Nothobranchius furzeri: one gene and its partner. The protein of the gene in region 2 purifies or fractionates together with the protein of the main gene of each other region. This does not show direct contact. Links are inferred from orthologs where the notes say so. Each region holds a gene or a part of one and is shown on either strand. Other genes may lie near its edges.

Region 1 (4,203 bases), on a different chromosome or scaffold from region 2:
CTACTCTTTTTAGTCTATTATCCATTGCACTGCTCCGACTCTACCCTTGGGAATTACTCTTAGCATTTATTTCTTGTTGTTTGTATTGCTTGCTTGTTATATTTTGTCTTGTACAGTGACCTTGAGAGCTTTGAAAGGCGCTTGAAATAAAATGTATTATTATTATTATTGAAATGTTTACAGTGTGGGCTTGAGAGACAACTCATGTCATGATTTTTTGCTATATAGATAAACTGAATAGAACTGAACATAACTCAAGCCACAATTTGAAGGATTTTAAGACAATTTTTGGAAAAAATAAAGTTTCACACTGCTGAACGAGGTCATGTTTGCTTTTATGGTCATTTTTTAACTTTGTCTTTTATCTCCTTCCAGCTAAGATCACACGGACGTCAGAGTGTTTCTACCTGTTTGTGAATGTGGATGTCTGACTGGTCGGGGGGGCCACCTGTGGTGTACCAGCCCAAAAACTCCATTTCTTTGAAGACCTGTTTAACTGAAAGACAAAATGAAAGTTAACAATCATTTTGAAAAAAAAAAAAAGAAGAGGAACTTGATTTACAAAGTTTAAAACTGAACACATTTCATTATTGTCTTATTAAAATCACCCCATAAGAACACTTTACACCTGTCAAACGTGTTATGTTTAAACATGCTTACACTGTTCCTCCTTGGTGTAGTAGTACTCCTTGTCAATGTGCACTTTGTCATCTATGGTGTGAGACATAAGTTCAAAGGAGTTCATCACCTCGATGTTTCTACCCTCCTGTTTTCCGATCAGAGCCCCGATCACTGAAAGGAGAACACATGATGAACAACACTTATTATTATGGCATTAAACGTTACTGCATTTTAATTACAGAGAATCTAAGTCAAAGCTTTGATAACTGCAGGGTTTGTTTCTCCCTGGAAGCAGTTTTTTTTTCTTTAAGAACAAACAGGTGAGAAAGAGACACATACCCTGCATCGGTCGCCCTTCCTGGGAGCGGATGCGTATCCAGTGGTCTGATATGTTGAGGATGACCAGAGGGTGCAAGGCCACAGAAACGCTCCCGGTGACTCCCGAGGCCATGACACTAGGGCCCACTACAGACACGTGGACACAGATGTAAAATAAGCTTTAACTGGACACCAGCAACATGTAACATAAAGCTCTTTACTCGAAAACAAACAAAAACTGTAAAACAAATGACTGGTTTTGGGAAAAAGGAGGTTGCATTTTAACAAACAGCAAATATTTGAAGTTTTATTATGTATAAAAATAATATTTTAACTCCAATAAGGCAGATCCCAAAGAATCCCTCGTATGTCTCATTTATCAGATAATCAGCTGAAGGATGTCTCCACTAAATCAGAAATTGGACTAATTAAATGTAATGCTCTCAATTCTCCTTTTAAAGAGTTGTCTCTGTGGTATGGCGCTAACTGCTGCAGCACTATGGGTGAATCAGTTTTTTTTAGATGCTGAGAAAGTGTCAATCACATTAACCACAGCAATATCATACCCAGATACCAACCCAGACAAACAACAATAAACAAGCAGATGTTTTTGTTTATATGGCCAATGTTTGATGTATTTATTGAACCAAGAAGATCCCACTGAGATTAACAACCTCTTTTTCAAGGGAGACCTGGCCAAGCTAGGCAGCAGCCAGGATAAATATAACTGGTTAGAGTTAGGTTTGCATCATCACACAGAAATAACAAAGCCGAATTGAAATAAACTTAGTAGTGAAGCCATAGGTGGGCGAAAATAAGGGAAGCAACTGAACTGTAGTTTGTTTTTGCCAAAATGACGTGACAGAGCAATGGAAATCAGGTGTACACAACGTCCCTCGTGTGCTCCTCTAATATGCTGTGCTGTAATTTGAACAGAATACATAAAATAGTATTTTCAAAAAACAATTAGTGTATATAAATTTATATTCACACAAGTCATCCAGACTCCAGTCAAAGAACAGAAAAGGAGCGACGGTAACATCCAGAGTCATGACTACAGACTGAGCAGTGCACGTTAACCCACTTATGTCAGCAGCAGCCTTTAATGACACTAAGTCTTAACTTGGGGTCATTCACACCCAAACTGTACAGCATGTAAGGGAATCGTACATCCATCTATGCTGATGTCAGACTTAAATGGTGAAATAAGAAATAAATACTCGCCTGCCCCATCCACTTCCATTCCTCCACCATCGCTGGTCGCCATCTTGTCCGGTGTGTGAGGCAACAGCGCCTCCTGGAGTCACAATATACCATGGTCACACAATTCGGTGCAACATCTATTCAACGCGCAGGCGCAGGAGGGCTGTTCAGCTAACGAACGTTAGGTGGCAACAAACTGCATTTCAGGCTGTTTCAAAACAAGGTGTGGAGCTCGACCTTTGTCAGAAATTTGTCAAGTGTTATCAAAAGAAAGAAAATATCGACGGAGACACAACTATCCGAAGGAATTTATAATATTGTATGTTCTTTAATCCAACGTCTAGGTCATACAGCATCATACAGTCAACGAGTAGCCGTTTCCTGGGGATTACTGATTTGGGCGCAACCCGTGTGCGTCAGGATATTAGTCCGTGTGGAAGCTTTACGAGTTTTTTTTTTTTTTTTTTAACGAAATGGACGAATTTAAAGCCTGTAATCTGGACTACTTTCCCGAGAACATTTTGATAGATGTTTTGTCATACCTGAGCGTCAAAGAGCTTGTCAGAGCTGGAAGGTAAGACCTGTATTCCAGCTGAAATTTTGCTTGTATGCCAAAAACTCAGCGCCAGGCTTTTTCTTTGTTATGACTCATCCGGTGGTGTAAGTGAGTTTGCTCTGTGTTGCTGCCATTGTTTTCCTCTTTTTTTTAGGGTGTGCAAAAGATGGAAACGCCTTGTTAAAGACCAAAGACTGTGGAAAACTGTCGACTTGACCTCATGGAAGGGGGTAAGAATTGTCAGCACACTGTGTGGCTTTAACGTTTTATTTATCTGATGTTTATTCTTTATGAAAATAATCACAATAAAGTAACACCTGCGAGTTACAAACAATGTTGCATTAGGTTTTAGACATAAAATATCTGTTCCAGTAACACCTGTGTCAGAAGGAAGTTATTTTTAATGTTTTGTCTGAATGACTAAATTATACGCTTTTTCATAAATATGTACAGAAACGGTAAACACAAAGTTTTGCGTTTGTAAAGTCACTTGATGGTTTTAGATGCAACACCAAAGTAAAAGAGGAACTTTCTCATGAATAAAATCAACTTATTTACCCATAATGAACCAGTCAGTGATACGTGTGTATTTTAACCTAAAGAAAAATGTGTTTGTTTGCATAGTTATTAACAGTTATTTTCTCCTTTTCCCCATCACACACACACACACACACACACACACACACACACACACACACACACACACACACACACACACTATCCACTGTGTCAGGTGACATCCCGCATCCTTTGGGTCCTGCTGCGTCAGTACCTTGGTTGTGGACTAAGATGCCTTCGCTTGCGAGGTTTGCTGCTGTCAGCCCGAGGCGGCACCTTTCTCTCTGAGTCTTGGCTCAAAGCTTTGTCCACAAGATGTCCCCGTCTGAGTAAGCTCTACCTTCTGCATACAGACCTGAGAAGTCTACCTAACTGCCTGGTTTTCCCTCGAACTTTGAGAGTGCTGGAGCTGCGTGGTTGTGAGTTGCCTCGGGGTTTTTTCAACCAAAGCTCTTCTAATTCAGCCACTCATCCCCCTGGCAAAGCAGAAGCCACTTCTAGTGCTCCTCATCAAGGAAGGGATCAGAAAGGAACAGGGCTTGGCTCTCCTCTGGGAGTTTGTATTGAGAAGTTAATCCTCAACAATGTGCCCTCTTTCACAGACCAGCATCTGCAGAGTCTAACATCGTGGCAGAGGCTAAGTCAACTGGAGTTGCGTGACACTTTTCGTATAACAGCTAATGGGCTTCGAAATTGTGCAGCCAAGGATGGTCTCTCGGGGGTAGAAGGGCTCTCACGGCTGAAATTTCTTGAAATAGGAATTACGGGACGACAAGGATACCAGTTACAGATGGCCTCCCTTGGACTAGGGGCAGGGTGGATTGGACTGGAGGAGCTGAGTCTTGGTGGTAAGGAGGTGGGGCCGGGTTTGCTCTGTGCCAGCCGTCTGAAGGACCTGAAGCATTTGTGCCTTTGGGCCTGCAAGCTCAGTGAGTTGCAGATTGTGC
Region 2 (8,720 bases):
AACGTGAGAGTCGGGGTAGTTGACGGATGCCCAACAGATGGAGTTCACCTGAAACATATTTAATAATATTAATTAATATTAGGACAACCTATTAATCAAAGATAGAGCTGTTATTTTATGTATCAAGTAAAAAAAACACACATTTAACTAATCTTATGAACCCTTTTTCCACTGGGATTTGATGACAGGAAGTAAAACATGTATTTTTTCCACTTACAGTGATCCCTCGCTACTTTGCGGTTCGTTTATCGCGGATTCACGACTTCGCGGATTCTTTCTTTGGAGCCTTATTCAAGGGAAATTCGCCGATTCGCGGCATTTTTCTATGCGAAATATCAAGAAATTCCTGTTTTTTTTCATCAATTTCATCATAAAATACACTTTTTGTAATAAAACTATAAAAAAACCAAGTAAAATTTTTTTTTCTTGGGTTTTACCCACAAAACGAGAATGTGATAATACGATAATTCAATATAGTACTGTACTGTAAATATGGTGTCCCTACTTCGCAGATTTTCACCTATCGCGGCCAGGTCTGGAACGCATCTACCGCGATAAACGAGGGATCACCTGTATTTCTAATAGGCGCAGAGCTAAATGGATACGAGCAACATGACTGGAATAAGAAAGAGCAGACACTTCCTGTTGAATATGTTCAAAGCAAAGAGGAATTTTTTCAAAAATTTTCCGTTAAAAAACTTTACTTAAAATAAGAGAGAACTATTATGAAAGGGCAAAGTCTCAGACCCCCTCCCCCCCTCCCCCACAGGTTAGATCATGCTGTAGACATCTGGAAATAGGAATTCATCACCTAATATTAAAAAGATCTGTGCATTCCAATATAAAATGTAGAAGATAGCCATTACATAAAGATATACTGAATACATTTAAGAGAGGTAGTCTGGATTGACAAGCTAACGGCTAGTCGAGAGTGAGATTACGAAATGGGTTGTCGTCAATTTAGGACAACTCCCATGTCAAAAATTCAAATAAATTCATGAGAATGTTTCATTAAAATTTACACCGCCGTTAACGCAGCCGTCTGGAGTTTTACCCCTTTCAGGGATTATGAATGATTTTGTAGAAAAATCTAAAAGTGATTGTGACTGTGTTATAATGTAGGCAATACATCTATTTGTTGTTTGCTAAGCCCCCCCCCCCCCCCATCCCATAGAGGCCCATACAATTTGAATTTAGCGCTGCTCGGCATTAGCCAATAGATTTGCTATCGACATCTGCTCACGTACGGATGTCAATCACAGAGTGTGCGCAAGCATTTGCAGAAGTACGTAGACTGATGCAAAGTTGGCAACGTTACTTATCCCTCCCACTGGGTGACCCGGCGAGGAAAGCTAACCATTGAGCAGGACTGATGGGTTTATCCCTTGAGGTCCACGTGGCAGGGGTGACGTGGTGCTCACTCCTCACCCTTGCTAGAGGTGCTAGACGCATCACTTCCAGCCATAATAACGGAAGTCAGGGGAGAAGCATAAGGTGCAATACATTTTTCCACCTCTAGATGGCGCCTTCTGAAATAAAATCCCCCATTTCCGCTATAAACATTGGCTAATCTGGCAGAAAAGTTCCAATATTCCCCCAGGAAGTGCCCCGGGCTGCACCGGAGACAGCTTAGTGAAACTGATGATGCAAGTGTTCCGGTAACTCTTTACAATAATGGTCCCTTTACTGTTGTTACTTACAGGGATGCACCGATATGACGCTGGTATCGGTGCCGATACAGATACTGATACCAGTATCGGTAAAAGTTAACAGATACCAGTAAATAATACCAATGCAGTAGCTTGAAAGTGACTTCACTGTAACTTGTCATTTCTGTTCACCAAATATTTTAGTTTTGTGATCACTTATATTACTTTTTATCTACCTCACAGTCTTTTCCTATTGAAAACAGAAGAAAATAAAACCTGTATCCCAATTCATTGCGTTTTTTTTGTGTGGTAGAAGTATCTGCATCGGTAATCAGTATCGACGAGTACTCAGATCCAAGTATCGGTTTGGAAAAAAGTGGTATCGTTGCATCCCTAGTTACTTAGTGCATTATTAAGCATTAACAGAATAAAGATCCCTTTATTAACAATCTTGATATTGTTAACTATTACGTGTCCTTAAGGGTAGGACAAAGGGCCAGGGTGGGGTGTCTGCTTAGTAATTCATTACTTAAAATTAACATTAATATCAAGAAGCTGTTAATACTTAGTTTATTCATGCTTAATAATGAACTAAGTGACATTATTAAAGGGAGACTTATTGTGAAGTATTACTGGTGTTCCTTCTCCAGTTAATGATCAGCTCTGCCTGAGTTACATGTGAAAAGGAAATTTTTTTTTTTAAGTCCCTTTTTTATTCCATGACGGGTTTAAAAATAATAATAATAAAAAACACAGACGATGCTTTAAAATTCAAATACTGATGATATTCTCCCACCTTGCGGTTGGTGAAGTAGAGGTTATCGCACATTTCCACTGACAAAGAGCCCTGGCTGCTGCTGCTGAAGTTCATGATGCCGTACTTGCAGCCGCCATGAGAGACGTCGTTCACTGTGAACACTCGCTCACACGCCGAGTCTCCCTTAGAACAAAAGGAACATCAGGCAAATTTGAAAAAATTAAACAGAACATTTTAAAGCTAATTCTGATTGGGCAGAAGAGCAGAAAGAGGAGCCATCAGGGTGAAGTTGTGTGCTCTCACCACTATGAGCCTGAAGTTATCAGTGTTAGAGTCGTTGCTGCTGTCCGTGCTCTGAATCTCCAGTTTGTGTCGCCTCATCCCACTGACTTTCACCTCGTGGATGAGCCTGGAAGCAAATGGTAACCATAGTAACACCAAAATAGAAGCGCCTAAGGATCCATCCATTGTCCGAACCCGCGTTGTCCACGTAGGGCCGCGGGGGGGGCAGGTGCCTAGCTCCAGCGGTCAACAGGCAATCAGGCGGGGTACACCCTGGACAGAGAGTCAGTCCATCGCAGGGCAACACAGAGACACACAGGACAATCACACACACTCACACCTAAGGACAATTTGGACAGACCAATCAACCTAACAGTCATGTTATTGGACTGTGGGAGGAAGCCGGAGTACCCGGAGAGAACCCACGCATGCACAGGGAGAACATGCTAACTCCATGCAGAAAGATCGCAGGCCGGGAAGCGAACCCAGGACCTTCTTTCTGCAAGGCAACAGCTCTAACCACTGTGCAGCCCAAGCGCCTAAGGATATGAATGCAAAATGCATAAACATGATGACATTTTCATCTATTTACAGCTGAAGTCAAAAGTTGTTTTGAGTCATCATTAATGGCAAACCCCATTTTACACACACAGAACCGATGAGCTCTGGAGCTAGTCTTAGGCCTAGTCCACACGTAGCCGGGTTTCTTTAAAAACGAATATCCGCCCCTCCAAAAACTTGCATCCACACCACCTCGTTTAAAAAGAAAACTCTGTCCACACGTACCCGAATAAATACGTTGTTAAGGACATGCCAGACCTGTAGGCGGCAGTACTTCCCCCGTTCTTAACCTCGTCCTTCGTCTGTGGTCTTCCGCAAGGAGCAGTAATTCCGCTTGCAAAAGCAAACAAGCAAAAAGCGCTTGGACGATTGGTAAAGCGAGCGCAGCTCTGAGGGCTTCCATGCTGTCGGCTAGTGTAAACACAGGTCGCACACGTGATGTCAGCATTTTTTTGTCGCGGAAAGTGACGTTGCGGACCTTAAAACTCCGGTTTTGTCCGTCCACACGCAGACACCCAAAACGGAGAAAACGCAGATCTTCACTTTGGCCGGAGTTTTTAAAAAGATCCGTTTTCGTGTGGATGACAGGCCAAAATGTAGAAAAATATCTACGTTTTGGCAGATCCCCGGCTACGTGTGGACAGGGCCTAAGTTTCACTGGGTAGTTTACAGCTGTGGGGACAGAAGCACAGAAATGATCCACTACCTGGAATAGGACCTCTCAGGCAGAATCCCGAGATGTCTTTTCTGCAGCAGCAGAGAAGTGTTCAGTCCTGGTTTTGGTGATATCTGTTAAAAAAAAACACACACACACACATTCCTGATTAACTCTCTTCCCTGAAACCCATCCAGGATCCCAAAATATTATGAAATATTCTTTTAATTCTAGCAAGTAAAACAAATATGACAGATCTGAAACTGGATTTACTTTTCTAGGGTTCTCATCTTCTGCCAGCATCTTGTGTCTCTTTTTCTCTCGTTCTTTCTCTCGCAGCTGCTCCATGGTCAGTGGGTTGCAGTTGTTGTGTCCAGGCAGCAGACGGAAGTAGCGGTTCTTCTCCGGGTCAAAGTAGAAACCTGGCAGCTCTGGCAGAACAATAAAGAAGTGATCGTCTTCTTTTTAGGCTACAGACAGTGTATAACTGCTTCAATTACCCCAATTTTCTGAAAATGTCCTTCCTAGAAAAGGAAACGTCCCTTTAAACTTACAAAAATACAACTGTCTGCCTGCTTTAGTGTATTGGGTGGTGAGGTTTTAATGGTTGTGATTTTGTTATGATTAAACACAGGTGAGTGTCCCTGGAATGTAATCTAACACATACCAGGTGCTACACTGCTGGTAGATGAAGATGATGATGACGTACAGGTAGACGCTCTGTGTGATGGTCCAGCATCATTGAGTCCATACCTGTACACAGAACACAACAAAGCTACATAATTCCTGATAGCACACTTTCAGGAACACTATGGATGTTTATATTGTACACACTGTTCGTCGCCAGCAGATCTTTCACGGTCGTTTATGTACCGTCCGTAGCGACGACTTTGTGGCCAGTTTCGTTTCTTCATCCTTTTTTTTTCTTGGCTCCAACAGTGAAGGTTGTCACATCACGCTTTCTGTTCACGACGTGATTACTTGTTAGCTAAGTTAGCAACGTTAGCATTAGAGCTAGCGACACGTTTGCTAATGTAGCTGGACTTCAAAAACGTTGCATACAACAAAGGTTTAAAACAGCAAATTAATCCTAGTGACGATGAACAAACATAATTCAGAATAAAGTACTAATTATGACTTAATTTTTAAACTCTCTTGAGCTACTTGGTTTACGGTAATGCGGCATTCGATGTACCTCGGAAAAAGGAAAATGCTACTTGTACTGACGCGTTCAATGGGCAAGTCGTTCCGTGGGCAAAGTGAGACAAAACTGTTTGTACTTCAGGTTTAATATTTTACTTTATCAAAAGTCATCAAAGTATTTAAGGTTGCTCAATAATTAAGCAGACAAATATGAAAGAGCGAATGCTGACTTACCAACTGTTCACAAACGCAACGTCACGTCATTTTACATAGTCCCGCCTTTCGAACTTATCATTGGTAAATTTTTTCAACAACAATTTTCGGACGTAAGATACGTTCATTGGTTGCTGCATTTAAGATCATGTGGGACATTTGAATTTTCAATCAACAATAAACAAAAATCACTGAAAAGCCGAAACAATTATCAATACGGTAATTATAATTTTGATTTGTCATCCACCATGTTCTACTTTAATACGAAAATCCATATTAATCTGAAAAGTAAGAGAAAATAATATTGAAATTGTATAAATAATAGTTTTACTATATTGTTGCGCTTTTATTGATTTGAAAATAATCTTCAATTAAAGTAACTGAGCATTTATTTTTAACAGCTGAGCACAAGAAACAACTCTGAGCCCGTCACGTGGTTCCAAGAAACAATAATTGTGCGTTGAAGGCTACATTTAATTCCGGTGGACATTAAATGTAGCATACGCGTCCTCTACGAAATGATTAATGATGTTGAACATTAAAAACAAACAAATCACAGAAATTAATAACTTTGATCACGAACTTCGTGATTTATACCCATTGGTAGTATGTAATGTAAATTAGGACAAATAATGCTCAAATGTTCAAACAAAAAGATAAAAAATTGTAGAAATATTAAGAACATCTGGTAATGGCGTACAACTCATAAACTTTTAGACAGCTGTTTTATAACTAAATCTAATTATTTGAGTGGAATGATTCCAGTGCAGAGTATGTTGACATATTTCACTGAAGCCACGCCTCATGTGTTGATGCTTCTGTTGTATTAGAAAGAGCAGAGGACCGCATTGGCTGTCGTTTTTTCCTTTTTTCTTTTTTTTAAGAAGGGTCCCAAACTGCACACAGATTTGGAATATTGCATTACAGTTCTGCAGAAAGATGGCGACTGTCATTCATAATCCATTAAAATCGTAAGTGTATTTCTTTTATCCTTTTTTAAATCTTAGTCGAGCAGCTGCAGACACAACGGTTCCTTTTCCATGTGTTTTTTTAATGATAGGAATCATAAACGCAGCCTTTCATCTGCACTCGGACTGTCTGTTATAATCAGGTATCGCTGCGCGCTGTTGTGCAAAGATCCTCACATAAAAGCATGCACGTTGTAGAAAAAAAGCACACTCTTTAGACATCCAGTCTCGTTGTGCAGTTGGTTTCGCATATGAAGAAAGTTTCACGCAAAAAAGAAGCGACTGGTAAAAGTTTGCATCGGGGAATCCCTAATAGCGATGAAAATTTTGATGCAAATGACATCACAACTGGCGCGCGCACGGGCACTTATTTCAAATGCGTGCACAGTATACTCACAGGAGCAGATTAAAACACGGCCGTGCATGTAGAGGAAATCTGCACCAATATTAAACACATATTGTCAGAAAATGGCAACACAACCATATTGTATGATTTGGAAATCTATAAGTCTTAATTTGCTTTTTCTCCCCTCTAGAAAAGGTTGCCATGTGTCATGTGTCTCAGTGATAGCTCGTGTGTGTGTAAGAATTCTAGGTTTTGTTATAGGAACCGTAATCCAATTCTGCGCCACTTCTTTTAAAACCTTCAGCATGACCTTTCTGGGTAAATGTGTTCCAAATAATACACGTTGTTATCTAAAGCTCTTTGTTGGAAAAAAAGGGAAAAAATGCTTTAAGCTGTTGTTTTCCATCAAAACAGATTAGGATGTAGTGAGTGTACGCGTTAGCTTTTGTTTGCGGTTGTGCCTGTCAAGCAGGAGATTAACAGTGTCCCAGTATTCTCCTGTGGGTCTATCTGTTAAGAGAAAGGCACAAGTTAGGAGCTGATGAAGGAGTACGGATGGGGGTCCCCATCTGTTATTTGTGTGCATCAGATCTAATATTTGCAGAAAAAGATAAGCACTTTTTAAGTCAAAGTATTAAAATACATTTAGAATTGACTTTACATTTTTAAGGGGTATTTTAGCAACTTTAAAGTGTTTTTTTGTTATAAATATATCCGTCTTACTCAATGTAAAAGTCTTCCGAAACAATCTCAGTTTAGAGAAATTACATTCTTCAGGACTGATGTGAGGGTGGCTTGCCAACTCCGGGTCGGGAGAGAGGTCCTACCTCAAGTGGAGGAGTTTAAGTATCTCAGGGTCTTGTTCACGAGTGAGGGTAGGAGGGATCGGGAGATCGACAGGCGGATTGGTTCGGCGTCTGCAGTGATGCGGACGCTGAGCCGATCTGTCGTGGTGAAGAGGGAGCTGAGCCAGAAAGCCAGGCTCTCGATTTACCGGTCCATCTACGTCCCAATCCTCACCTATGGTCATGAGCTTTGGGTAATGACCGAAAGAACGAGATCGCGGATACAAGCGGCCGAAATGAGTTTCCTCCGTAGGGTGGCCGGGCTCAGCCTTAGAGATAGGGTGAGGAGCTCGGACATTCGGGAGGGACTCGGAGTAGAACCGCTGCTCCTCCGGATCGAAAGGAGTCAGTTGAGGTGGTTTGGGCATCTGGTCAGGATGCCTCCTGGACGCCTCCCTGGGGAGGTGTTTCGGGCATGTCCTGCCGGCAGGAGTTCCCCGGGTCGACCCAGGACACGTTGGAGAGGTTAAATCTCCAATCTGGTCCGGGAACGCCTTGGGGTCCTGCCGGAGGAGCTGGTGGAGGTGGCCGGGGAGAGGACGGTCTGGAGCTCCCTAGTTGGGATGCTGCCCCCGCAACCCGGACCTGGATAAGCAGAGGAAGACGATGACGACGAGGATGATGAATCGAGTGGCCCATGGTGGCGGTGAGGTTATGGGCAGGCATATGTTATGGAAAACAAGTACAGGTGCATTTTATTGATGGGATATTGAACACACAGCGATACCGTGATGAGATCCTGAAGCTCAATGTTGCGCAGTTCAACCACGGCCATCAACTCATTTTGCAGCATGATAATGCACGGCTCCGTCTAGCAAGGTTCTGTGCACAGTTCCTGAAAGATGAAAAGATCCCAGTTCTTGCTTGACTGGATGTGCCACCCATCAAGCACATTTGTATACAACCAGTTCTTGACAAAATTTAGCAACCTTGAACAGCTATTGAAGTGGGGTGGACCAACAATTCACAGGCCACATTCAACAACCTGATCAACTCCAACGGAGATGTGTTGAACTGCATGAGGCACATGGTGACTACACCAAATACTGACTGTTTTTTTTATATTGCTTTCTTAAGTAACTGTATTATACAAAATTAACTGTAATGTGATGTTGATAAAATAATGTTGCTCGACTTGCTATAAAATATCAAAGATTGAATCTTGGATATAAAGCAGCAGTGTGTAGTCTCCTGGCGCTAGGGGGCAGTACATACATTTCACGGTAGTTTGACAGCTTATCGCCGTGACTGTCGCTAGTTTAAAAAAAAAACCAGAACGGTAAATGTTGTTACCTGTGGAG

The links. Proteins that work in one complex are often made in the same cells at the same time.
Region 1: the proteins of wdr21 (region 2) and cops6 purify together in Homo sapiens (affinity purification with mass spectrometry; 4 studies listed by BioGRID and IntAct, counting the BioPlex papers as one, with this or other methods). This does not show direct contact. The link is inferred for Nothobranchius furzeri from reciprocal best matches to the Homo sapiens genes DCAF4 and COPS6.

What each region holds. Positions count from the first base shown.
Region 1 is NC_091741.1:79,987,571-79,991,773, forward strand, and holds the start of cops6 (COP9 signalosome complex subunit 6), read right to left. Parts: upstream 2,801-4,203; 5' UTR 2,717-2,800; coding exon of another isoform or gene 2,616-2,716; exon of another isoform or gene 2,313-2,615; intron 2,237-2,312; 5' UTR 2,207-2,236; coding exon 2,164-2,206; intron 1,087-2,163; coding exon 961-1,086; intron 793-960; coding exon 661-792; intron 497-660; coding exon 408-496; intron 1-407. Other genes in the region: F-box/LRR-repeat protein 12, read left to right, coding at 2,616-2,716, 2,853-2,928, 3,432-4,203. UniProt on the Homo sapiens protein: Component of the COP9 signalosome complex (CSN), a complex involved in various cellular and developmental processes.
Region 2 is NC_091742.1:25,602,185-25,610,904, forward strand, and holds the start of wdr21 (WD repeat domain 21), read right to left. Parts: upstream 4,986-8,720; 5' UTR 4,819-4,985; coding exon 4,739-4,818; intron 4,658-4,738; coding exon 4,572-4,657; intron 4,336-4,571; coding exon 4,178-4,335; intron 4,039-4,177; coding exon 3,956-4,038; intron 2,816-3,955; coding exon 2,710-2,815; intron 2,590-2,709; coding exon 2,446-2,589; intron 49-2,445; coding exon 1-48. Other genes in the region: zinc finger protein DPF3, read left to right, coding at 6,200-6,231. UniProt on the Homo sapiens protein: May function as a substrate receptor for CUL4-DDB1 E3 ubiquitin-protein ligase complex.